7 linked regions of the Callithrix jacchus genome follow. The protein of the gene in region 2 interacts with the protein of the main gene of each other region in a pairwise test. Links are inferred from orthologs where the notes say so. Each region holds a gene or a part of one and is shown on either strand. Other genes may lie near its edges. The genes, in order: PNMA1, PRPF31, CDCA7L, STX11, PRICKLE1, MIPOL1 and TSGA10.

Region 1 (3,955 bases), on a different chromosome or scaffold from region 2:
TTCCTCATTTGTCTCTAAGTTGAAGGCCTTGTTGGAAGGGACAGCACAGGAACAGCCTTGACAGTCTGTAATTATTGTACAAATATTTTAATAGCATATAAATAAGTATATTCCTTTTATTTTGAAACAAATGATCAGACACTGCCTTTTTTGTGTTTGCTGCCTGTGGCACCCTTTTTTAAAAAGACTGTTACATATTAAAATAGTGTACATATATATATAAATATTACCTCTTTTGCTGTACAGTTGTGATAGAGACTGAAGATTTTATTTTTTGTGTGCTTTTTATAAGAAAAAAATTAATACACTAAAGAATCTTGCTGATGTGATTGTAATGTACCTATGTAACTTATTTACTTTTGAATGTTCTTCTGTATCTTTAAACCTTTTATTAAATAAGGTTTTAAAAATTCAGAGTTGCATGCTGTGTTCTCTGGGATTTTCACCATCTGGGATTGATGTAAGTGGGTCTTGTCTTGCTTGCACAAAGATTACTCAACATTTTCGAACCATACGGATTCTCTTTTAGCAGCCTATTGTCAATGATGCCAGCCAGGAAAAGGGAAATAACATATTAATGTTTACCTGGCTAAAAGATGACTGAGTAGACATAGACAAACATCTTTTTTACAAAATTTTAGACAAGAAAAAGGCAACTCCGTATCTTACAAAAATATACGTAAATGGCACACGCCGACATTTTGGCTGCGTTGGGATGAAATATGCAGGGTGCAGAGTGTGGTTGGGGGAACAGGGAAGCTACGGTTCTGAGGATATTCTCACGTGCAGGGTGGACTGGCTGAGCAATCTGAGATGAGTCCACCATGAGGGATGCATTTCCAACAATATCATCTTAAGTCCACTCCAGGATTGGGTTATTTTTAAAATACGGTGCTTAGCAGTCTTTGTTCTCTGTTTAAAAAAAAAAAAAGAAGAAGAAAATTACGCCATCAGAGAAACAGGTGCCCGGGGCACCATGGTAACCGCTGGACTCCGCCCCACCCCCACTCCCCCGCCCGCGGTGGGCCGCCAGAGCAGACGAGTCTCGTGCAGGCTGAGAAGCCGTTGCCATGGCGACACCCGAGCGGCTCCGCCGCGGGGGCGTGACGGAGTGGGGCAGACGCCGCTCACGGGCTGGCCCCACCCTTCACTGCTGCAGTAACATCGCCGCAGGTTGCGGGTAGGACACTACGTCTGGGTAGCAGCGCAGTGCAGATCGTTGCGGCCGCCGCTGCTCATCCTCTCTTCTGCTGTCTCCAGCCCAGCTTCGCCAGCTCTCCTGCTCCTCTGTTGCCTTCGTTTCTGGTCCTCGGCGGTCCTCGCCACCCTCCCGGAAGAGTCCCTGCTCCTGCCAAGAAGCCGCTCTCAGCTGGCCCGCAGCCGCCGCGACTTCGGCACAGTCTGCCTGTGCCGGGTCTCCCAAACGACCTCTCCTCGCCCTCGGAAGACCGGGCTGCGACCGCGAACGCCAGATCCTCTCTGGGAGCCGCCGCGAGCGCCCGACGACCACACCTCGGCGGTTCTCGGCCCATCGCGCCTGCCTTCGCCGCCCGCCTTCGCTCCTTGCCCGCTCCACGACGACGCGACGCCTCGGCTGCTGGCAGCGGACCCGGACCCGGACCCGGACCCAGACGCAAGATGGCGACGGCTGCGTGACTGCCTCAGCGTTTCCGAGCTCGTCTCCAAGTGCGTCCACTGACTGACTGTGGGGGCAGGGAAGGGCGAGGTCAGGACTCTGTGTCTTTGTTAATCGTGACTGCGTGAAACTCGCCTCCCTTGGGCCTACTTGGGGGGAGTGTCTGGCGTTGTTCTAAGGCCAGGAGCAAGGTGAGCCACTGTCTGTTGGTAGAATTAGCGTCTTGATAGTTGACAAAATGGCGATGATACTGTTGGAAGACTGGTGCAGGGGAATGGATGTGAACTCCCAGAGAGCTCTGTTGGTCTGGGGCATCCCAGTGAACTGTGATGAGGCTGAAATCGAAGAGACCCTCCAGGCTGCGATGCCCCAGGTGCCCTACCGAGTGCTTGGGAGAATGTTCTGGAGGGAAGAAAATGCGAAAGCAGCCTTATTAGAGCTCACTGGCGCTGTCGATTACGCCACGATCCCCAGGGAGTTGCCGGGCAAAGGAGGAGTCTGGAAAGTGTTCTTTAAGCCCCCGACTTCCGATGCTGAATTTTTAGAAAGATTGCACCTCTTCCTAGCTAGAGAGGGCTGGACCGTGCAGGATGTTGCCCGTGTCCTTGGGTTTCAGAACCCTACTCCGACCCCGGTCCCAGAGATGCCAGCAGAGATGCTAAACTATATTTTGGATAATGTTATTCAACCTCTTGTTGAGTCCATATGGTACAAGAAGCTGACACTTTTCTCGGGGAGGGACATCCCAGGGCCTGGAGAGGAAACCTTTGATCCTTGGCTGGAGCACACTAATGAGGTCCTAGAGGAGTGGCAGGTGCCAGATGCAGAAAAGAGGCGGCGGTTGATGGAGAGTCTTAGAGGCCCCGCCGCTGATGTCATTCGCATCCTCAAGACCAACAACCCCGCGATAACTACTGCCGAATGCCTGCAGGCGCTTGAGCAGGTGTTTGGGAGCGTTGAGAGCTCTAGGGATGCCCAGGTCAAATTTCTGAACACTTACCAGAACCCGGGAGAAAAGTTGTCTGCTTATGTCATTCGTTTGGAGCCTCTGCTACAGAAGGTGGTGGAGAAGGGGGCCATTGATAAAGATAATGTGAACCAGGCTCGTCTAGAGCAGGTCATTGCCGGGGCCAACCAAAGCGGGGCCATCCGAAGGCAGCTGTGGCTTAACGGGGCTGGGGAAGGGCCGGCCCCAAACCTCTTTGAGTTGCTGGTGCAGATCCGTGAGGAGGAAGCCAAGGAAGAGGAGGAGGAGGCTGAGGCCACCCTTCTGCAGTTAGGCCTGGAAGGGCACTTCTGAGTCCCAGGAAAGGCAGCTTTAGTGCAGACCCAGATCACAGCTACTGTCCTTGTCCCTGTGGGGTCTTACAGATGTGTCTGAGTAGTAAAGGCTTAGTCCTGTTACATTTGTTTTTGGAGGGCAGGATTTGTCAGGCCTGAGTATTCATGTAACATTCTAAAATTGTGCACGCAAGCACTGTGAGCTGCTAGCGGATCTTGCTGGCTACAATGCCGTTTACCTGGTTGGACACAGAGCTTAGTGCACGCGGTCATCATGGCCATCATAATCAGTTGTGAAAAACGTGTGAACCTGTGACACTTCTATTCCACGTTGAATGTGAAATTGCATGTTCAGATGTTTACTGCGGGGCCTGGCTCACAGGAAGTGTTCAGTAAAAGTGTGAACTGTTAGATTACTGATATTGTGGATAGTTTTCTGTCTACCATAACTTGTTCCAGATTTTATTAATGGAAGGGAATGTGCATTTATTATGACTCAACCTTACAATGTAAACGTACTATTTCTCATCTTTAAACATGTGGATCAGTTTAATTGAAAAGTATTCTGATACTGCAAAATGGGATGTTAAAAACTGCAGTTACGGAGCTGTGTAACCCATTTTTCACTGCATAAGATACAGATGTAAATTGCATGGAGAGGTTGATGTGCACCTGTTAGAGTAATTCACTTCCCCAATTTCAAATCTTTGTCAGAAAATAGTTCTTGTTCATACTAATTCTGAGTGTTCTAAATTTGAAGTTACATACAGAAATAAAAATGTTTTTCGATTTCTGTTGTCTTCTCCTTTTGCTGGCATGTACAAACATCTTTAGCCTAAGTAAACTCTGTCCATTTTTCTTATGAAGACTGTCATTAACTCAAACCATATGTTTTACTTACCACAGACACTCAGCATGTCTTCACCCACTACCCATCATTCACAGAGCTTTCCCCTCCATTCCCACCAGCATCAGGTGCACACTCACCCACCTCCTACGCTCTACACATTCACTGCCATCTCCCACTCAGTACTCCCA
Region 2 (2,186 bases):
CGAAACAGTTCCCAGCTAGGTGGGCTTGGGTGTCACGTGTGGGTCTGGCCCCCAGCCCAGTCAGCAGTGAGTGGCTTGGAGCACGGCAGTCACCGCACCATCGGCACCGCGGTTTGCCATCCACAGAGCAGGGCGAGCCTGCACCGTGGCTGTGGGACAGTGGGGAGCTCATCTGCTCAGACAGCGGCTGTCGGTGCTCTCGGCTCTGGGGGTGAAGCGGTGAATGAGAGAGACAAGTCTTGCCTTCCTGGAGCCTGTGGGTGGCTGGGCACAGACAGATCAGTAAGATGCCCAGTGTGGTAAAAGGCAGAAATACCAGGGAGGGAAGGACGTGGGAGGTGGGACAGGGAGGCCTTCGTCCTAGCACAGCCAGGGAGGGCCTCACCTTTCCCTGCCTCCACTCCCATGTTATGAGGTGTTCAGTTCTGAAAAAGGAGTGCACAGAAGGCACTTGGTCCTGCACTTGCTGGTGGAGCCTGATGACAGGTCCTGTGCTTATTTTCTCTTTTCTTTCTTTTTTTTTTTTTTTTTTGAGACGGAGTCTGACTCTGTCGCCAGGCTGGAGTGCAGTGGTGCAATCTTGGCTCACTGCAACCTCCGCCTCCTGGATTCAAGCAATTCTCCTGCCTCAGCCTCCTGAGTAGCTGGGATTACAGGCGCCTGCCACCATACCCAGCTAATTTTTGTATTTTTATTAGGGACTGGGTCTCACCATGTTGGCCAGGATGATCTTGATCTCTTGACCTTGTGATCCACCCACCTTGGCCTCCCAAAGTGCTGGAATTACAGGCTTGAGCCACCGCGCCCAGCCTGTTATTATTTTCTTTAGAGACAGAGTCTCGCTCTGTTGCCCAGGCCTTGAAAATATTTAGGAAGTTCCAGCCAGGTGCCGGCGTCTATCGCTGGACACTGTGATCATCAGTAGTGTTGGTGTGATTTGTGCTGGGACCTCCAGCCAGCCACATCCCCCAGAGACTCAGTTTCCTCATCCAGAAACTGAGCAGGATTGGCTGTCCTCAGGCACTGGTGTTTTTAGCAGCCCCTGGGGAACTTGTTAAAAACCTAGGTGCCCTGGTTTCTCCCCACCCTCTCCCCCCAGACCCACTGAGGCAGAATCTTCCAAGGCAGGGCGACTCCAGGGACTGGCAAACTGTCCCATGCCCACCCAAGGCCTGAGTACCACGGGGAAAGGCCTGGGGGGCTCTGGCGTGTCAGTTGGGGCCTTCTCCTTGCCCAACACATCATCCTCTCTCCCTCACCTGCCTAGGGCCTGGAGATTGTGAACCCACAGGCCGCGGAGAAGAAGGTGGCTGAGGCCAATCAGAAGTATTTCTCCAGCATGGCAGAGTTCCTCAAGGTCAAGGGCGAGAAGAGTGGCCTCATGTCTACCTGAATGATAGCGTGTGCCCAACGTGGCTTCCCACTGAAGGGACGTTGAAGTCCAGGCCTTCTGAAGGGCTGGGATGGGGGTTAGGGGTTGTGGCAGGGAGAGCCTTCCCTGCCGCCCACCCGGTGCTCGACTGCCCAGGGAGGGGCCTCGGAAGAAGCCTGGCCCGGCCTCCTCCAGGATGGAGCTCACCGCCCTGGATGGGTTAGAGCAGGTCTTCATGCCTTGTCTTTTTTATTTTAACTGAGAAAGGAGATACTTTTTTGAAGAGAGTGCAATTAAAAAGCACATTATCAAGATCTGTCCTTGGGGAGTGATCATTTTTCAAACAGCTGGGGCAACTAGAATAGTCAGAGCTTCGGAGTTTGGGGAAAAGAGCTTCGCCTCCGGGGCGCACTCCCTCCCCTGTTCCTTTCTCACCAACCCCCTGGAGAACCTCAGTCGCTTTGATAGCAGACGGTGTGGCAGCCGACACCTGAAGATCTCAGCGCAGGCTGACCAAGGTTGCGCTGGCACCTCAGGCCGGTTGCCTCGCCTTTCCGAGCCTCCACAGCTACGCCCAGGCACCCAGGGCTGGAAAGAACGCGCAGAAAGCACTTAGCACAGGGCTCGCGTCAGCACCCAATAACTGGGTCCTGTTACTGGTGTTTTTTAGAGATGAGGCCTCTGTCGCCCAGGCTGGAGTACAGTGATGTAATCATAGCTCACTACGGCCTCAAACTCCTGGTTTCAAGCTGGGATTACAGACGCATGCCACAGTTCCTGGTTAATTTTGAAACTTTTTATAGATGGGGTCGCA
Region 3 (4,080 bases), on a different chromosome or scaffold from region 2:
AGAAGGAAGGAAATCTTTCCCAAGTTTTCTCTTCAAGCTTGAGTAAATGTCTGGCAAATTTCATTCACTCCTTCAATATAGAAAAGATGAACATCAGATCCCAAGCAGCTGAGGGGGGCTGCAGAAGGTCCTATGCATACAGGAGGCTCTACTGTAAACCCATGACCACAGTTCTAAATAGGTGTTTAACACTGTCCAGCAAACTGTGATTTCAGCACCACTTCATTGACCATTCTCCCCACTCTCTACTTCAAGTCTCCTACAATCTCTACCCACTTAATTCCTCACTCTTCATACCTGAGCTCTAAGAACTATTCCCTGACCTCTGCCAGATTGTCTCCATGGAACAGTCGCCTTCTTCTCATAGCATCATCACTCCAAAGTTACATTTCTTTGCATCACGATTACATTATGGTATCAAATTAATTATACATCTAATTTATAAAATGTACATCATCATTATTACTATACTTATTTGCATCATTATTTTATTTATTTAGAATAATGCAATTAGGTTGGTAACGGGCTCTCAGGCTGTAAACTCCAACAGAGCAGGGGCCTGTTTTTGTTCTCCCTTGTGTTCCTTGTCCTAACCCAGTGTCTGATGCTCAGTAGGTGCCCGGGTCAATTTTGCTTAAGTAGTCAGGATTCCTGACCTCTACAAACTCTCTGCCTAGTAGGGGTGGAGGCCTACTGTGTGTAATGGCCATCTAAAGTTTCAGGAGAGTTTGCAGCTCTCCACCTGGGCTTTGGTAAAGAAACCTGGGTTGCTTGTTTTGCAAAAGGAACCCTGTAGTAAATGTTTTAGGAGACAGAATCCTCCCAAAGAGAACCCTGCCCCTTTACAACAACAAAACAAAATAAGCCCCAAAGCCGCCACAAAATATTTTCCTGGATCAGAGACAGGTGTTGCTCAGAATCCTGCGCCCCAGGGCAGGACCTGGAATAAACCCTTCCAAGTATCGAGCGCGCGTGCCAGCTGGAGGCTGCGCCGGGACAGCCCCCTCTCATTTCTCCCGCGCGAAACACCGCCGGACGGCTCCACTCCCTCCCTCCGCTGCAGGGGGGAGCCCGGCGCCCTAACACTGGCAACTGGTCTTGCCGCTCACAACTGCAGCCCCTCTCGTGCCGCCTGCGAAAAGAAGTTCAGTGGCTGCGAAGTTGAAACAGTGATAAGAGCCACGAGGCTCAGCGACGCGGCGCCGAGCGGGCAGCGCGACGCGCTCCCCCTGTCCCAGGCGCGGAGTGCGCCCCTCCCGGGTCCCGCCCGAGCTCCGGGCGGAGCGTGCTGGCTGCTCGGCCCCGGGGAGTTCTCGGTGCGTCTGGCCCGTGGCGAGGCCCGGCTCCCGTGGCCGAGTGCTTGGAGGAGACTGGAGCCTCTTTAGGAAGAATGGAGTTGGCTACTCGCTACCAGGTGAGGGTTCGGCGCCCGCAGTTATGTGGACGCACCCACAGCTTGACTTTCCTTTGCGACCGGGTCTTACTGGCTTTGGACTGGAAACGTGGCCCTTGGCTGCGGCGCTGACGATTCCGCGCGCCCAGCCGTGTGAGTGCCGGAGTGGGCGCGCCCTGCAGGTGTGCGCGGTGGGTCACGTTTGTGCCACGCGGACCAGAGAGGCCGGGTGCCCCCGCACACAGCCGCGCTCAGCGTAGCGCTATGTTCCGTATCGGGTGGCTGCCGGGGGTGCAGGCGGGGAGTTAGCGGGGCGCAGCGCCTGCGTTTGCAGCCCTCGTGTGACGGGGGAGGGGATTTTTTGTCCGCTCCCCACACTTTCTCGTGGAATTGGCAAAGATATCAGGAAGCTTAAGAAAGTTGTATTTTTTTTTTTCTGATAGTCTATCGCCAGACCAGTCCAACTTGGATAATGGAGTTTAAAAAGAATAACTTTAGTGTTCTAGAACGTCTCTAGACGTTTTTAAGGAATCGTGTGGGGGAAATAGCAACATTGTTCAAGTCAGACAAGCTGCAAGATCCCAAATCTTAGGCACAGCAGGATCCCAATTACGCGTTAAGGGCCTAACTAGCCTTTAAAACTCATTAGCAAACACTTGAGTAAGTTCTCCCAAAGGTTTCACTGAGTGGTGGGAATGTGAACGTGACTTCAGCTTTCTCTTTTTACTTCTTCAAAGCGCTTTTCTCTACCTTATCGTAATGGAGATATATTTTTTCCTTAGAGGTAAGCAATAAAAACATTTTTCAAAATAACTAAAAGTAAAATCTTTAAAAAGAGAAGCAGCCACGCCTCTGCTTGTGGGGGCGCAGAGATGCTTTGTGCGAGAATAGTTTTATTTTTTTCTTTTTCCACTTGTTTTTGTGAGAGCCGCGAGATTCACTACTTTCACCTTGCCGTCTACTCGTGTTTACTTTCCTCCACCTGCGTGCCTAGCCGGGGAGAAGAGGAGGCGGGGCCCCTAGCGTTGGAAGGCGCAGAGTGCCAGGTGTCCGACGCTGTCACCTGCCCGAGTCTGGCGGCAAAGACCGAGGCCCTAATGGTAGTTTTGGCCTTTAAGTAATTTCTGAAGCCGTCTTGAAATGGTTGTTTGAGAAAAATCTTGTTGATGCTTCTGAGAAAGAGTATTTGTAAAGTGCTTCCTGTGAGAGAAACTGTTAAAAGCAAGGGAAACAAACAGTAAAACCTAGGGAATGAGACGGGGTTCGATTTTTTTTTATTTTTTGCCACTGGCTTTTATTGTGTATTGGCATCCTAATCTTTTGTTTGTTTGTTTTTTGTTTTTTTGAGATGGAATTTCCCTCTTGTTTCCCAGGCTGGAGTGGGAGTGCAGTGGTGTGATCTCGGCTCACTGCAACCTTTGCCTCCCTGGTTCAAGCGATTCTCCTGCCTCAGCCTCCTGAGCAACTGGAATTATAGGCGCCCACACCGTGCCCGGCTAATTTTGCTTTTTTTTCCTTTTTTTAGTAGACACGGGTTTCACCATATTGGCCAGGCTGGTCTTGAACTCATAACCTCAGGTGATCCACTTGCCTTGGCTTCTCAAAGTGCTGGGATTACAGGCCTGAGCCACTGCACCCAGCGGCATCCTAATCTTCTAGGAGTTTCTGCTGCTGCAGGACAGAAAACAACAACAACAAGACCCTCCAGATGGAGATTTGTGCTCCCTGTGAATTTCATCACAAAACGTATCTGGAATGTGTCACTCCTGAAACCTGTTGTTAGGCTGGAGAGTTCTTTTCACTTCTACCACTGATATTCATAATTCATGCTTAGGAAACTCAGAAGTCCCAGAATGTTACATAATGAGGCTAATTTTTGGTAGTTGTAAAATGTTAAACTATTTTTCATGTGGGGATTACCCACAAATTATATCCGATCCATTTATGCACCAATTAAGGCAAATTACTATATGTAAGATGATGAGGGTTTTTTTTTTTCCTTTTCTAAAGACCTAATTGGCAGCTGAAATCAAGATGTGTGATGATTTTTTCCAGTGGAAATGTTCCTGTTCATCGTAATTTAAATGTGAACAGATTATACTCTCTAAATTAGTGGAGAGTGGTTCTATGGGGTGAGCAGGTGACTGCAGATAAGAGTACTTAATGAATGTTTCAGGCACAGCAAGATGTTAAATTCATGTGGTTCCACCCTGTCCTCCAGCCTTATGAATAAAGCAGTGTGATGAACTGCCTGAAGTGGCATTACTGCACGCTGAATGTTCAGCTCAGTGTGCAGTGGGTTTTAATCTCACACATTGGAGTAAGTATAATTTTTATCCCTTGGAAAGCACAAAGCTAGACGGTGTTTCAGCAAAGCAGCTTGGGCCTAATGTTATGAGTAATAAGCAAACAAGGAGACACGCATTTACTCTGAACTACCTTTGAGTCTACTTTTCTGCCGTTCCACCTGTGTGTTGGTTTTGATGTTCTGTGACAGTGATTACGCTTCCCACAGTCTGGAGTCTTGTCTAACTGACCACTGTGTCTTTGTGCTTTTATATAGGATGACAGAAATACCTCGTAAAGACAAGGGTGTGATCCCTTACTAAGAGCTGTCAACAGTGCAGCTTGCTGGAGCCCCAGCTTGCTGCAGCTCCCTCGGAGAGAAACTGGTAGGCACTGAATGT
Region 4 (4,050 bases), on a different chromosome or scaffold from region 2:
GATCTACATAAATTATTTGGAATTATTCTGTGTAGGAGATTTGTCTCCTCTCTGCCTTTTATTTATTTATTCAATTATTTATTTATATGAGTGTAGACTCATGGATATTTTTTACTTTGGCTTTTAATCCAATAAGACTTTGTTTAGTTTACTTCGTTGCTCAAATGGTTCCATCTTTGGCAACTGGGAGCTCTTTCAGGTAGTTCTGTGTTTAAACATTCTCCCATCAAGGCAGGATTCGTTTTTTATTTTTATTTTTCCTTCTCATTCTTTTGCCCAGGCTGAAGTGCAGTGGCAGGATCTAGGCTCACTGCATGCTTGACCTCCTGGGCTCAAGTGATCCTCCCACCTTAGCGTCGCGAGTAGCTGGGACCACAGAGGCGCGCCACCATGCTCAGCTAATTTTTGTATTTTTTGTAGAGATGGGCTTTCACCATATTGTTCAGACTGGTCTCAAACTCCTGGGCTCAAGCGATCCTCCCACCTCAGCCTCCCAAAGTGCTAGGTTATGGGCGCGAGTCACCGCGCCTGGCCCGATTTCCCTTTTTGAATCTCACTTACTTTTCAGCCTCACCTTTGTTTTTCAAGGTGCTTACCGCCACCTGGCACAATCCACACTTTGTTTATGTCTCCCCATTAAAGTGCCAGGACCTGGAGGGGGGGTCTTGGCAGTATTTTTGAGAGCGGTGGTACCCTGGGCACACAAGGGGACGCTCAGCTAATATCCAGGGAATGATGAGCCCGTAGGGTCCTGAGGCCGACTGGAGAGGGGTTGGCCGCCGGGTTCTGGGAAGGCGGTGGTCGGCCGCTGTGTGACCGCAGGCTCCTTGCCCGCCTCCTGGAAGGTCCAGGGGGTGCAGGACCTGCTGCAGCCTCGGCAGCCACACCCACGCTCAGAGACCGCTTCCACCGTCCTCGCCGCGGAAACGCACCGGACGGCAAATGTCATCAGCGCAGCGGGGATTCCCGGGGAAAGTCCACCGCGCTCCCTGCCCTAGGAACCGGAGGATGAGCAGAGGAAGTGCCTCTGGCTGCAAACCTCCCACTCCCCGCGAGGGTCCGCTCCGCCCGCGGGAACTCCCCGAGACGTACGGGAGGTGCTGGAGCGCGTCCCCGGCTCCGGGCGGTCCCGAGCGCAGGGACTCCGGGCGGGGCGGGAACCTGCGCTCCGCGAGCCGCCGCGCCCCGGCGCTGTCATCCCGGGGCGGGGCCTTGTCCCCAGCTGTGGTCGCTTCCTAAGCGGCTAGGGCAGAGCCGGCGGCGCCCAGATGCGGCCGCGGCGGGGCGGAGCTCGGGCCGCAGTGAAGGAGCCCAGCCTCTGCCGCAGGGGACGCGGGAGGCGCCGGGAGCCGAGCCGCCGGGAGTCGCGCAACAGGTTTCCTTCCCCAACGCGGCGCCCACGGGGGACGAGCGCCCGGCCGGGATAGGGGCTTCTCGGTTCGAACTCTCGCTCCGGGTACTGGTTTGTTTTTCTGTCCCTGAGCTCCCCATTTCTCTACCTATTCCCGGTGCGCGGAGAGTGCGGGGAGGTGGGCGGGCCGGGGCGGGGACACTGTCTGGGCTCCGGATCCGCGGCGGTGCCTTAGTGGGTTTTGGTGCAGGGCCTCACGCCGCCTCTGGGCACCTTCGAGAACACAGCACTGGGTTTCTCATATAAAGCGGAATGATATTTTTTGAATTACTTTTAATTTCAGAGGCCAAGGGACTGAGAATTTAGCGCTTCATAGGAATTATTTTAGGGATACCCGTTGGTAGGCTGCCTTTATAAAGCGTCCACCTAAGACTACCTTTAAGTTGAAAGGCTGAAGTGTTTCTTTGTTATCACCTCTTCATTTCCTATTAGGGTGACTGTGTCAAAAACACCAGAATGGGTACCTCTTGACTTGAACTTGGCACTGTCACCCAGAAGCCGGGAGAGACGGAGAAATTGATAGAGCCTTGGAGCAGTCCCTTCAAAGCCCACATAAGACTTTGTTTTAGAAAAATGGAGAGGAAGGGTAGTGGCAATCCTGCGAGAACCACTCTGTCCAAGAGGGAATTCTGCCTTTTTCTAGACTCCTCTGACACCAGCTGAGCTCTGTATTACTTCCTGTGGTTCTCACGCACTTGTTTCAGCCGTTTCTCAGCAAAGGGAGGAGTTGTTATTTACGGGTATCCAAAAATGAGTCACACGGCTGCTCTCTTAATTGTGAGACTTTGTTAATGAACTTTTTGAAAAGCGAGGCTTGCTCTGTCTGTATTTAAAATGAGGCTCTAGATGTGAAATGCCTGCCCTGCTAACCTGGGGCAGTGGTATGGGTAGTGATGATTTGAGTTTTCAGTTTCCTAAGGCGCCTGATGTTACAACATGCCAGTAAAGGTCACTGGGCTGATCTAAGATAACCATTAAAATCATGTGCTTTGCCACAGAAGCCCAAGGGAAAATTAATTTCAGTATCTAGTGACCATTTTGTCCTCATTTTCACTGCATGGTAGAAATGTATCATTTAATGTGGTGACTGTAACTCTCTAAAATCAAAATATTTCTAACAATTTGTATTTACTAAATTGATGCTAAAACCACACGACGATTTTTGAAGTGGGTAGGTCCCAGCAGGAGCAGAGAAATTTAAAAGTTGAAACTCACAGGTCCCATTGTAGTGGGTAGCAGCGCTTAGGCAAGGTCTGCACAGGCTCTCAACATGATAGAAAAGGGAGCACCATCTCTACTGGAGCTGAGTTGAGCTGAGTTCAGCCCCAAACAACAGTTACCAGGCACCTTCTCTGTGCCAGCCTCTTCTCTGAACCTTGCTTGTGCAACTAGGAATAAAAGGATCCTGCTGACAAGCTGCTAGGGTAAATCTACACCCAGATGGATGTTTCTGTCCCAATATAACTCAGTAAGCTGGGTCCCAGTGTATTTAAAAATTAAACAGCCAGTTACTACCCCTAGATAATTACAGTCACCTTTAGTTCATAGTGTGACTTTTAGGAAATAGTGTGACTAAATAATAGTTTATTTAAATACACTGGAAAATCCATTATATATGTGCTAGGGTACATCTATGCCCAGAGTGAAGTTTCTGTCCCAATATGACTGATGTTTCTGCAGATCTGGGATTTGGAATGGACTGGGTCATGGCTGGAAAAGCGAGGAAGCTTTTGAGTTGACTCATTTACTTGTCTTTGTAGGCAGCCTATTCTTCATTTGATACATGATTTAAAAAATATGAATTAGAAAGGTATGGTTTTTAAAGCATTTGAATGAACCATATTTCATACTATTTAATAACCATGTGAAACTAAACTCAGCTGATTATCACCCCTGGACAATTGCAGTCACCTTTAGTTAACAGCATGACTTTTAGAAAATAGTATGACTAATTAATAGGTTGTTTTGTTTTGTTTTGTTTTGAGAGAGTCTCACTCTGTTGCCCAGGCTGGAGTGTAGTGGCGCAATCTTGGCTTGCTGGAATCTCCACCTCCCGCATTCAAGCAATTCTCGTCCTTCAGCCTCCCAAGTAGCTGGGACTACCAGCTCCCACCACAACAACCGGCTAGTTTTTGTATTTTTAGTAGAGTCAAGGTTTTGTCCTGTTGGCCCAGCTGGTCTCAAACTCCTGACTGCAGGTGAGCTGCTCACCTTGACCTCCCAAAGCGCTGAGATTGCAGGTGTGAGCCACCATGCCCTGCCTAATAGTTTATAAATTGATAACACTATATTGAGGCAAGTTTCTGATCATTGTTTTTGCAGTTCAAATCAATGTTTTTAGCACGTTATAGCCATATGAGCCCAAATGCATAAACATACTGTATCACAGTTTACTGTTGCAATTGAAATCTGCTGAGAGGCTTTTAGACTTGATGCCCAAGTATCAAGGTTTCCAAGTTTCCCCAGTTTGCTAAGATACCCAACTAGTAAAGGTAACAATGCTAAATTGGAGACAAATTGGCCTTAATTTCCAAACTTTCTTCCTCCTTTGAGACCCCTAAGGTTACTTTTTCTATGAGGAAGAAAGAGTGGAGTATATTATTCAGCATTGTACTCCCTGAATTTGGCCCAGGTTTGAC
Region 5 (3,500 bases), on a different chromosome or scaffold from region 2:
AACTCATCAGTACATAACCTTGCGTCACGTGTGTTTTTCCTTAAAGCTACCTCCTTATTGAATACACATTGTTGATGCATTAAGACTGAACTCATAGCCAGTAGTAGTGTACTCAAGATTAGGAGCTTATCTAATTAGATGTCTTTCCTCCATAAGGCACATCACAGCCTTCTTGTACTTTGGAATACGACGGCATTTCAGCATTATACTTGGGGGTCATTTTAAGCAGGAAACTCACCAACAAAAAGCACAAAAATGCAGAAAACACGGCAGTAAATAGACCAGGAATAGGATACTTGTCTACAATATGAGAGCCGAAACAAAAGGCAGAGCATCTCTTGGATTGATGCGTGTTGGTTCAATTCATGTTTTTACCACTCTGCACATCTGCAAATGACCATGAAAGTGTTGCAAATATCAGTTTTGGGGTTATGAATAAATTTTAATAAGTAGGCAAATTCACAAATACAGAATCCACAAAGAATTCGGATTAATTTTATGTGTCACCCACACCCCTCTCAAGATACAGACATTTCCATTACCCTTGAGAGCTCCCCCATGCCCATAATCTTTATTTTTTTTCATTTCCTCCTTATTTCTTGTTTCAGGCAATAAACTATAACCTGTTACTTATTCTATCCTTTTCAAAACAGGTGTGGACCACGCACAGATGACCTATGACGGGCAGCACTGGCATGCCACGGAAGCATGCTTTTCCTGTGCCCAGTGTAAAGCTTCTTTGTTGGGATGTCCCTTCCTTCCCAAACAGGGTCAGATTTACTGTTCAAAAACATGCAGTCTCGGTGAAGACGTCCATGCCTCTGATTCTTCCGACTCTGCATTTCAGTCAGCTCGATCAAGAGATTCCCGAAGAAGTGTCCGAATGGGCAAGAGCAGTCGGTCAGCAGATCAGTGTAGACAGTCTCTTCTCTTATCCCCTGCTCTGAACTACAAGTTTCCTGGCCTCTCAGGCAATGCTGATGACACCCTTTCTCGAAAATTGGATGATCTGAGTCTCTCCAGGCAAGGAACAAGTTTTGCCAGTGAAGAATTTTGGAAAGGCAGAGTAGAACATGAAACTCCAGAAGACCCTGAAGAATGGGCTGACCATGAAGATTATATGACACAGCTCCTCCTCAAGTTTGGTGATAAAAGCCTCTTTCAGCCACAGCCCAATGAGATGGATATTCGAGCCAATGAGCATTGGATATCTGATAACGTGGTTAAAAATAAGACTGAGTTAAAGCAAAATAACCAGAGCCTTGCAAGTAAAAAATACCAGTCTGATATGTACTGGGCACAATCACAAGATGGACTGGGTGATTCTGCTTATGGCAGCCACCCGGGCCCTGCAAGCAGTAGAAGGCTCCAGGAACTGGATCTGGACCATGGGGCTTCAGGGTATAATCACAATGAAACACAGTGGTATGAAGATTCCCTGGAGTGTCTGTCAGACCTGAAACCAGAGCAAAGTGTTCGGGATTCGATGGATTCTTTGGCATTGTCCAATATCACAGGTATGTAATCTGGGGATTATGGAGTATTTGAAAAAAGGAGCTGCTACAAAGTGTGTTCAAAAAATTGCAATTCCAGCTGGATATGGTGGCTCACACCTGTAGTCTCAGCACTTTGGGAGGCTGAGGTGGGCAGATCACCTGGGGTCAGGAGTTTGAGACCAGCCTAGCCGACATGGTGAAACCCTATCTCTACTAAAAATACAAAAATTAGCTGGGCGTGGTGGCGGGTGCCTGTAATCCCAGCTACTCGGGAAGCTGAGGCAGGAGAATCATTTGAACCCAGGTGCAGAGATTGTAGTGAGCAGAGATTGCTCCACTGCAGTCCAGCCTGGGTGACGAGTGAGATTCCATCTCAAAAAAAAAAAAATTGCAATTCAGCATGAGTAGGAATTGTATGTTATTGAAAACCATGGATCAAGGGAAGGAAGGAATTTCACTTAAATACCAAACACTAGCAAAACAAACGTGTACAGGTGAGTGCATATGCATAAAATATATTTACAGTACGGTCTTTAGGGACAGGTTTTATTATCCCTGTTTTGAAGAGAAGGAAATTGATTGGATGAAGGCGTCTACAACTGGATTGTGTCTGAAAGATATTGTATACTTGGATTATGCTGTATGGATTTCAAGATACCAAAATTGGCCGTAACACTTTACAAGCTCATATTTTAACATCTTCCTGTATTGTCCTGTGACAGCAGCTCAAAATAGCTGAATACTTTTTATTTAGATTATAAAATAATTACTTTTTTTTTTTCGAGACAGAGTTTCACTCTTGTCGCCCAGGCAGGAGTGCAGTGGTGTGATCTCAGCTCACTGTAACCTCGGCCTCCCAGGTTCTGGGTTCAAGTGATTCTCCTGCCTCAGCCTTATGAGTAGCTGGGATTACAGGCGCCTGCCACCATACCCAGCTAATTTTCGTGAGACAGGCTGGTCTCTAACTACTCACCTCAGGTGATCCACCTGCCTCAGCCTCCCAAAGTGCTAGGATTACAGGTGTGAGCCACTGCCCCTGGCCTACTTTAATGTTTTCAAAATACAGTCATATCAATCATCCACATTTTATCTTTAAAATGACCCTGAGCTGTATAGAGTGGATGATACAACTGCATTTTACAAATGAGGAAACTTGAATTACCAAAAGGCTAAATGCCCAACCTTACATAGGTTCTAAAGGCAAGATTGGACCTAGAACCCAGGAGATTATGAAACTTATTCCCAGCAAGTCTTTGGATTATAGAAATGTTTCTGTTGCATGGCTGGTTTTATAGTCAAACTACTGATGTCCAGCCCTTTCATGAAGGTAATTTTTCTTTAATGTAGACAGGAAAGGCTTAGTAGCTGCCTCCTGCCAGGAGTGACTTGTGCAGACACTGCAGTGACAAGGAGGGGTAAGATAAAGCTGCTACCTGCCCCCGCCCCTGGCTTCTGCGGACTTGTCAAAGATAAGGACTACAATAAAGGGGAGTTGAGGAAGAATGATGGGTGAGACTCTCTGCCAGGCCTAGTGCCAAGAGTTTTAAATTTAATATTAGAAATAGACATAATTTGGCCAGGTGCAGTGGCTCACACCTGCAGTCCCAGCACTTTGGGAAGCCAAAGTGGGTGGATCACCTAAGGTCAGGAGTTTGAGACCAGCCTGGCCAACATGGTAAAACCCAGTCTCTACTAAAAATACAAAAAATAGCTAGGCATGGTGGCACCTGCCTATAATTTCAGCTACTCTGGAGGCTGAGGCAGGAGAATCACTTGAACCTGGGAGGCAGGGGTCGCAGTGACCCAAGATCACACCATTGCATTTCAGCCTAGGCGACGGAGCAAGACTCTGTCTCAAATAAGAAAAGAAACATAATTTGGCCCTGACATTCCTTGACAATAATGAGCTGAAAAATAGGCTCCCCTTAAAAAGTAGGAAGTTATATAGTCTCCAGTTGACAAACATTCACACCACTCCCTTTGTCATTTACAGTCTGTTAGGCT
Region 6 (3,500 bases), on a different chromosome or scaffold from region 2:
GCAAGCTCCAAATTTCTGATGAGCCTTTTCAATTAGAAATCTAAAAGTTTTTACTACTGAACGAAATGAGAAATATCCAGAAATAGAGTCAAGTCACACAGTATGGATTCTTAAAAAATATTAAACATTTAAAATTAAATTTTAGAATGAAAGTCTAGAGTGTGTCAGAAATTGATGCATTGTAATAAAACTTCAAGGACTTATATTTACTAAGACCCAGGAAGGATCAACAGAGTCCTCTTATTGGGAAGCTCTTATTGGGAAGCTTCCATATTTGCTCTAAGTTTGAAGAAGATAGTATGGTCACAAGTAAAATAGTGGTGATTTATCAAGAGTTCAGGAGATCACAAATTTGACATTAGGTTATAGCTGAAGGAAGAGAACTATAAAACTAGTAAACAAATAGCGAATTTAAATAGCAGAGATAAGATCAACACCAGGAGGTTAGGAATAAAAAACTGAAAGTAAAAAATATACTGAATTAATTTTAGATAATGGTAAATTTGGTCTTGAACAGGTTGAAAAGCACTGGACAAGAGTCTGAAGCAGTTGTGCGGCTGTCATGGGGACCTGGGGGCTTTTATAGTTGACAGTGATCCATGGACCATTCTTTTCCCTTTTGAAGAAACATGGTACTTCATAAACTGAAGAAGAGTGGGGGGCCTAATAGTTTTTAAGAAATATGTCCCTAGGGGCAATTTTGTTATTTGATAATGCTTTCAGTGATTATTTCTGATTGTTTTTCATTTGAGTTATTTACAATGTTATATGTTATGTGTTATATGTGTTAGAAAGCATAGTCTATTAATGATATAGAGGCTTTCCTTAATGCCCATTTATAAACTTTTCTCATTCAGATTTTGAGAGTTCCATTATGCTAATGCAGCCTATTACAGACAAGTTGCATGGTGACTATCTAATGCAAACAAAGTAAGAATTTCAAGATGTCAAATATGAACAAGTGATCTTCAGATGTATCTGTTCCTAAAACTGTCAAATTTAAGTTAATATAATGTTGAAGGTTCACAGCTCTCTTATACTGTATAATTATGATAGGACATTCTCTCTTCTAATTCATTTCTTCAGAGTGAAATAGAGAGTAATTTACCAAAAACAGATGTACTCATCTAGCTTCTAGCTAGCAATAAGAATAATGTCCAAGATCTAGAGTTCATAACTGGCTATACCTAATTTCAGCAAATATACAAGCAAATAATTTTTTCTTAAAAAGTGAATATTTTTATGAGAGGTATTTTATTTATAAGTGCCCCCTTTTGTTTAAATTCTAAAACAACTCTCAGCCTGAGCAAAATAGCAAGACCCCATCTTTACAGAACATAAAAATCAGCCAGGCAAGGTGGCATACTCCTCTAGTTCCAGGCATTCGGAAGACAAAGGCAAGAAGATTGCTTGAGCTCAGGAGGTTGAGGCTACAGTGAGCCATAATCATACCACCACATTCCAGCCTGGCCAACAGAGCAAGACCCCATCTTAAAAAAAAATAGGGTAAAATAAAATAAAACTACTCGTATGTGCCTCCAACGATTGTAAGTTTAGCAGATTTAAAAAGGCACCACCAAAAATCAGGTGAGATTCATCTGCCTTTTAAAGTTCAAGAAATATTTCTGCCCTAAATAAGGAAGTACTAGTTACAATCAGTACTGGGGCCTGTTGAATTGATTTACTAGTGAATGAGTTTGCTTTGTGTTCGTATTTGTGTGTCATTTTCTCCCCAAAACTTTACTTTGTCATTACATGTACATTGTCCCTTTGAAATAGCCATTATTTACTAGCAGTAGCTTAAGATAATTTTTGTGAGATAGGCATTGCAAAGTATCTTCTCTGATGTATAATACATCCTAGAGATGAAGGTTAGAAATCATTCTCCCTTGTATTGTGTCTATTTTAATATTATGACGATGATTACAAAAATAATAACTAACATGTATTGATGTGTCAGGCACTAGGCCAAGTATTTTGAGTATGTTAACTCAGTCCTTAACAACAAATATTATATACCCATTTTACAGAAAAGAAACTGAGAGTAACTTGCCCAAAGTGATTCACTTGGCAAAGCTGGAATTCTAACCCAGGCAGTCTAATACCAGAGTTCCACATATATTAACTCTTCACTATAATAATTATTTTATACTATTTTCAGAAATCTAGAAAAGTTCACCTAGAAAATAATATCCCCAAATCAGTGATTCTCAGCCTTGAGCGTATGCTGGAATCATTTGGGGATCTTCAGAAATTTAAACTAGGTCTCACTCCCAGAGATTTTTTAAGCTCTGAGGATTTAAAAGAAATCTCCTTAGGTTATTCCAAAATGCAGAGTTATCTATTGACTGTGGAAATGGAAGTCTCAATGGTAAAAACCACACTGTATATGCTTATGTGATTACAGTAGAAATAAGACTAGAAATTATATCTTTAAAGCTATGAGAGTATTTCCAAAAATATTTATTTGATTGATTTAATATCAATAAATAGTTACAGTGTTTGATATATCATGTGTTATTTTGTTTGTTTGTTTAAATACAGATATAACCCACAGTTATCTTGAACAAGAAACTAAAAGGATAAATAAAAGTACACAGCCAGATGAGCAACTGACTGTGAGTTCTGAGGAAAATATGCATCAGAAATCCACTGAATTAGTTAATGAAATAAGTTATGAGAACACAAAATGGTCAGAGCAGAGATCAAGGAATTTTCAGATCATCAGTTCTTACCCAGATGATGAGTCTGTTTACTGTACTACTGAAAAATCCAAGTAAGTGCTCACAGCCTTAGATTTAGAAAGTAGGAATGGGGGCTGGGCGTGGTGGCTCTTGCCTGTAATGACAGCAGTTTGGGAGGCCAAGGCGGGCGGGTCACTTGAGGTCAGGAGTTTGAGACCAGCCTGGCCAACATGGTGAAACCCTGTCTCTACTGAAAATACAAGTATCAGCCAGGTGTGGTGGCACATGCCTGGAATCCCAGCTACTCAGGAGGCTGAGTCATGAGAATCACTTGAACCTAGGAGGCGGAGGTTGCAGTTAGCTGAGATTATGCCACTGCACTCCAGCCTGGGTGACAGAGCAAGATTGTCTCAAGAAAAAAAAAAAGAGAGAGAGAGAGTGGAAAGTAGAAGAACTTTTTCTTCCTTTCTCCTTTCTTCCCTTTTTTCTTCTTTCCTTCTTTCATTCTTTTTGGAGTTGACTAATTCTAAACTCATTAGAATTTGGGGGATCTACCAGGGTTTTCTACTGTTTCTGTGATATGGATATAATATGTCTAGTTAACTAAGTGAAAAAGCACAACGTGCATCTAACGAAAGGCAGTGAGATTTAATTCTATCTTGTTCAATATTATTTTCTGTGATGTTTTATTATATATTTGAAAATAACTGTTAAATTGATATACATGAAATATCATTCATGAAAGTAAAAAGCTGGCAGCTCTAGGATAAGGTAAGCCCAAACATGCATTTTGGTTTGGGTTAGCACTGTTTTTCG
Region 7 (3,960 bases), on a different chromosome or scaffold from region 2:
TGAAATACACAGCGTTCTACCATATCAAGGTCATCAGAGAATTGCTGTAAAAACCCAGTATCTACGTCATCTGTAGGAAAAGGTGATAAAGTCACCATTATCATCCAAAAACTCTTGGGTTATTTAAGAAGGGATATGGTAGATATTAAGAAGACTTTTTCCATGCTGGGCTCCAAAAAAATGGTAGAATGCAGCCCTCATTCTTTTTCACCAAAAAGCTCATTTGTCCACTTTAAGGTAAGGGAATTTGGAAAAGGACTGGCATGTGGAAAAGGAATATCGGTCAGGAATCTGGACTTTCTTTGCTAGTTCTGCCACTTTCTGATTCAGCCCAGATCGAGCAGAGCTGACTGAGACGGTGGTCCCCAGGCTCCCCTAATTGCAGTCTGCCCGTGCTCACCCGGACAGGTTGGCTTGCTACCAGCAGGCTGCAGCGGGAGGACTGGACCTGGAAGGCTCCCTCAAAATGGGCCCTGGCTGCAACTCTGGGAGTAACCGGTTCACTGAACGTGAGTCCAGAATGACGTCCAAGCCCTGAGAAAAGTGGCACAAAGCCACCGCCGCGAAGGTGTTCCAAGCTGCAGGTAGGAGGCGCGGCGACAGACAGCCTTGCGCATGCGCGTTTTATACACGTGCGGCCGCCACGAGCAGGAAATAAAAAATGAATCTTGGAAAAGGGGGCTCGCGGCTGGTTACTAGGAGACGGAACGCTCGGGTCGGGCGTCTAGGCGCTGCGTGGGCGTGCGCCTGCGCGGCGCGAACAGGCCAAGAAGAAGCCCCTCCAAGGCGCCTTGTAAGGCAGGCAGGTGGAAGTACGCGTCGCTCTGTGCGTAGGTGCGCGCACACGGCTTGTAGCCAGCGCGAGAGGGAAGGTCGAGCCAGGTACGCGTGCGCACGGAGCCTAGGGGCGCGTGGGACGGAAGCAAAGCTGGGGCGCCGGGGAGGTAGAAGACGAGCCCCACTCGGTACAGATCGTGAGGGCGGGGCCACGGCGGCGCCGGATGGCGCTAACCGCCCCCGCCTCCTTCGCGCAGGCTCCCTCTTTCCTCCGACTCCGCTGGGGCGGGGCCAGGACGATTTGGGGGTGGGAAGGGAGGAAAAAGGGGCGGAGGATGGAGATGGGGCGGTTCTCGTATCCCCGGCGGAGGCCGAGAGGTGGCAGTCGCGGGGATGAGCTCTGGGGAGGACATCGGGCCAAGGAGCTCGGGGAGGGACCCGGAGCTCCAGGTAGAAGCTGCGGAGATACGCAGGGTGGGGAGAGCTGCTCCTGCTCCGGAAGGTCTCCGAAAAGCCAGCTGCAAGCGGGCGGGAGTGGCGGGTGGTGGGCCGTGGCGGGAGGAGGTGGGCAGGAGCCGGGGGAGCCGCTGTGAGGGGCGGCAGCGGGCACTGCTGCGGGCCGGAAGCTCAGCAGCACGCGTTGTCCCTGTTTCTTGGGAAGTTAGGCTGAAGCCCAGTTCCTATGGTCACCGCTTTGCGTCCTGCCGCAGCTTTCCGCTTGATTGTTGGGGGTACTGTTTTATTTAGAAACGCTCTGGTGGAGCGAGGAATTTGGAAGTCATAGATTTGGGAGTCAAACCTGACTCCCAATCGCTCACTTCTGAGCCTATTTCTAGACTTGGGGTGGTAAAAGACCGAGATTACGTAGGCATTTGCATGGAAATCTCAGATAAATTTCAGCAAGAGTTGTACACAGTAAAGGCAGGGAAAGCTGGCTTTTGTTGAAAACATATTTGAGACTTAAATTGAATAACTAGATGATCATGGACTTGATACCTAAAAACTCACAGAAATAAGTACATTTTTTCACATTTTTTTCCCGAGGCTTCAGGAAAGTTTGCATAGATGACAGTGTCCCAGCGTTTTCCTTCTTCCATTCCAGTCCCTTTTATCCTAGGAAATTTCCTTGTTTAAAATGTTCTCTACTGGTTTTCAGCATTTCAAATATGCTTTGTTTACGTGTGAGGACATAAATAGAATAACAATCGGTTTGTAAGTAGGAAAAAAACAGGTTAGCTATAAATATGTAAGTAGAATGCCTCTTTCGAATCTGCCTCCAGGATAAAACAAATTCTTGTTTGTATTTTAATTGATTAATTAGCCAAACTCTTCAGTCTTAATTAGTGATAACTAGGAAGGTATATTAATGAAATATTAATTTTAAATAATAAACTTCGGCATTATTTAATGGCAGCTTCCAAAATATTTCACGCATTGTTTACCTTCTGAAGAAAAATCACTGCTTGTAGCCCAGAATATAATCAGGTGTAGAGATTCACTGGGGGCTCTTTTCTGTCTTCTTTTTCAGTTGCTTAGACTAGTTTGTTTAGGACAATTTGGTTTTGAAGTCCTCCGTACACCGAGGCAGTTAGAGGTATTACTGTATATCACCTTTTCAGATTACATGTTCCTTTCTCTCCCCAGAGATAGCCACTTCCTTGATTTTCCTTAATGTTTCACATCATTGTATGTGAACATGCACATTATAGTTTGGCTTGTTTTTGAACTTCCTCTAAATAGAATTTGTACTAAGTATTCATTTACATCTTGCTTCTTTACTCAACATTTTGTTAAGGTTAATCTTTATTGCTGCTTGCAGTATTTAGTTTGCTGATTGTTTCCCAAAATATCTCACTCTGTTGCCCAGGCTGGAGTGCAGTGGTGCGATTATGATTCACTGCAACCTTGATCTCCTGGGCTCAAGTTATTCTCCTACCTCAGCCTCCCAAGTAGCTGGGACCACAGGCGGGTGCCACCAGGCCTGGCTAATTTCATTTTCATTTTTTGTGGAGACAGGGACTCACTATGTTGTCCAGGCTGGTCTCAAATTCCTGGGCTCAAGTGATTCTCTGGCCTTGGCCTCCCAAGGTGCTGAGATTATTGAGATTACGAGTGTCTAAATCTTCATGTATCCTTGCTTTTTCTTGTCTCAGGGCAATACATCTTTAATTCTGAAAGAGGATCCTTATGTAAAGAGATTTAAGGAGCAAGTTTTTCTCCTTTTGTAATGACCTTTCCGTAACCTTGGTCGTCTTCCACCTTTTGCTATACCTGTCTTCCTCTCACAATCATGCTTCCTAAAAGAAGTTTACATTTATTAATAAATTAGTCCTCTTCAGACTTGTTTTCACCCATCATTGAAACTGCTTTGTTTGAATCATTAAAATTTATTTTGGAAATGTTTTACTGAGTTTCAACTTTGTGCTGGGCACTTTTAAAGCAATAGGGATATAACAAAAGACAAAAAGCCTAGGGCTCTTGAATTTTATATGCCAGTAGGGGGAGCCAGACAGTAAACAAGTGAGCAAATAAATGATATCATTTCAAGAAGTGATAAGTGCAAATAGCTTATCACTTATTTGAGAGAGTGACTGGGATAGAGGCTACTTTAGGTAAGAAGTCAGGGAAGACCTGACATTTCAGCCAAAGAGTTGAAGATAGCCATGTGAAGGGCTGGGTAAAAAGGGTTCCTGAGAGAGGGAAAGCAAGAGCAGGGGACTTGAAGTCGAATGCTATTGGCACATATCTTAGTCCATTCAGGGTGCTATAGTGAAATATATAAGCAACATTAATTTAATTCTTATAGTTCTGAAGACTAGGAATTCTAAAGTAAGTTGCCAGTAGAATCAGTGTCTGGTGAGGGCCTGTGTTTTTGTTCATAGATGATACTTTCAGACTGTGTCCTCATACATTAGAAGGGGTGAGGAAGCTTTCTGGGTACTATAATATACGGGCAACTCATCATGACCTAATCACCTTCTAAAGACTATGCCTCTGTTTTTTTTTTTTGGGGGGGGGCGGGGATGGAGTTTCACTCTGTCTCCCAGGCTGGAGTGCAGTGGCGTGATCTCGGCTCGCTGCAACCTTTGCCTCCTGGGCTCAAGCTGTTCTCCTGTCTCAGCCTTCCAAGTAGCTGGGATTATAGGCCCACCACCGTGCCCAGCTAATTTTTGTATTTTTAGT

Evidence for each region.
Region 1: the proteins of PRPF31 (region 2) and PNMA1 interact in binary tests that used the Homo sapiens proteins (3 or more experiments, as listed by UniProt). The two-hybrid records come from large-scale screens. The link is inferred for Callithrix jacchus from reciprocal best matches to the Homo sapiens genes PRPF31 and PNMA1.
Region 3: the proteins of PRPF31 (region 2) and CDCA7L interact in binary tests that used the Homo sapiens proteins (3 or more experiments, as listed by UniProt). The two-hybrid records come from large-scale screens. The link is inferred for Callithrix jacchus from reciprocal best matches to the Homo sapiens genes PRPF31 and CDCA7L.
Region 4: the proteins of PRPF31 (region 2) and STX11 interact in binary tests that used the Homo sapiens proteins (3 or more experiments, as listed by UniProt). The two-hybrid records come from large-scale screens. The link is inferred for Callithrix jacchus from reciprocal best matches to the Homo sapiens genes PRPF31 and STX11.
Region 5: the proteins of PRPF31 (region 2) and PRICKLE1 interact in binary tests that used the Homo sapiens proteins (3 or more experiments, as listed by UniProt). The two-hybrid records come from large-scale screens. The link is inferred for Callithrix jacchus from reciprocal best matches to the Homo sapiens genes PRPF31 and PRICKLE1.
Region 6: the proteins of PRPF31 (region 2) and MIPOL1 interact in binary tests that used the Homo sapiens proteins (3 or more experiments, as listed by UniProt). The two-hybrid records come from large-scale screens. The link is inferred for Callithrix jacchus from reciprocal best matches to the Homo sapiens genes PRPF31 and MIPOL1.
Region 7: the proteins of PRPF31 (region 2) and TSGA10 interact in binary tests that used the Homo sapiens proteins (3 or more experiments, as listed by UniProt). The two-hybrid records come from large-scale screens. The link is inferred for Callithrix jacchus from reciprocal best matches to the Homo sapiens genes PRPF31 and TSGA10.

The regions. Positions count from the first base shown.
Region 1 is NC_133509.1:108,629,448-108,633,402, reverse strand, and holds PNMA1 (paraneoplastic antigen Ma1), read left to right. Parts: upstream 1-1,155; 5' UTR 1,156-1,874; coding exon 1,875-2,936; 3' UTR 2,937-3,706; downstream 3,707-3,955.
Region 2 is NC_133523.1:47,313,922-47,316,107, forward strand, and holds the end of PRPF31 (U4/U6 small nuclear ribonucleoprotein Prp31), read left to right. Parts: intron 1-1,267; coding exon 1,268-1,393; 3' UTR 1,394-1,686; downstream 1,687-2,186. UniProt on the Homo sapiens protein: Involved in pre-mRNA splicing as component of the spliceosome. Required for the assembly of the U4/U5/U6 tri-snRNP complex, one of the building blocks of the spliceosome.
Region 3 is NC_133512.1:36,210,665-36,214,744, forward strand, and holds the start of CDCA7L (cell division cycle-associated 7-like protein), read left to right. Parts: upstream 1-1,280; 5' UTR 1,281-1,390; coding exon 1,391-1,414; intron 1,415-4,080. UniProt on the Homo sapiens protein: Plays a role in transcriptional regulation as a repressor that inhibits monoamine oxidase A (MAOA) activity and gene expression by binding to the promoter.
Region 4 is NC_133505.1:150,902,368-150,906,417, forward strand, and holds the start of STX11 (syntaxin-11), read left to right. Parts: upstream 1-1,250; 5' UTR 1,251-1,456; intron 1,457-4,050. UniProt on the Homo sapiens protein: SNARE that acts to regulate protein transport between late endosomes and the trans-Golgi network.
Region 5 is NC_133510.1:33,196,178-33,199,677, forward strand, and holds part of PRICKLE1 (prickle-like protein 1), read left to right. Parts: intron 1-653; coding exon 654-1,517; intron 1,518-3,500. UniProt on the Homo sapiens protein: Involved in the planar cell polarity pathway that controls convergent extension during gastrulation and neural tube closure.
Region 6 is NC_133509.1:71,918,496-71,921,995, forward strand, and holds part of MIPOL1 (mirror-image polydactyly gene 1 protein), read left to right. Parts: intron 1-857; exon of another isoform or gene 858-930; intron 931-2,544; coding exon 2,545-2,776; intron 2,777-3,500.
Region 7 is NC_133515.1:8,703,315-8,707,274, reverse strand, and holds the start of TSGA10 (testis-specific gene 10 protein), read left to right. Parts: upstream 1-1,160; 5' UTR 1,161-1,170; coding exon 1,171-1,227; exon of another isoform or gene 1,228-1,279; intron 1,280-3,960. UniProt on the Homo sapiens protein: Plays a role in spermatogenesis. When overexpressed, prevents nuclear localization of HIF1A.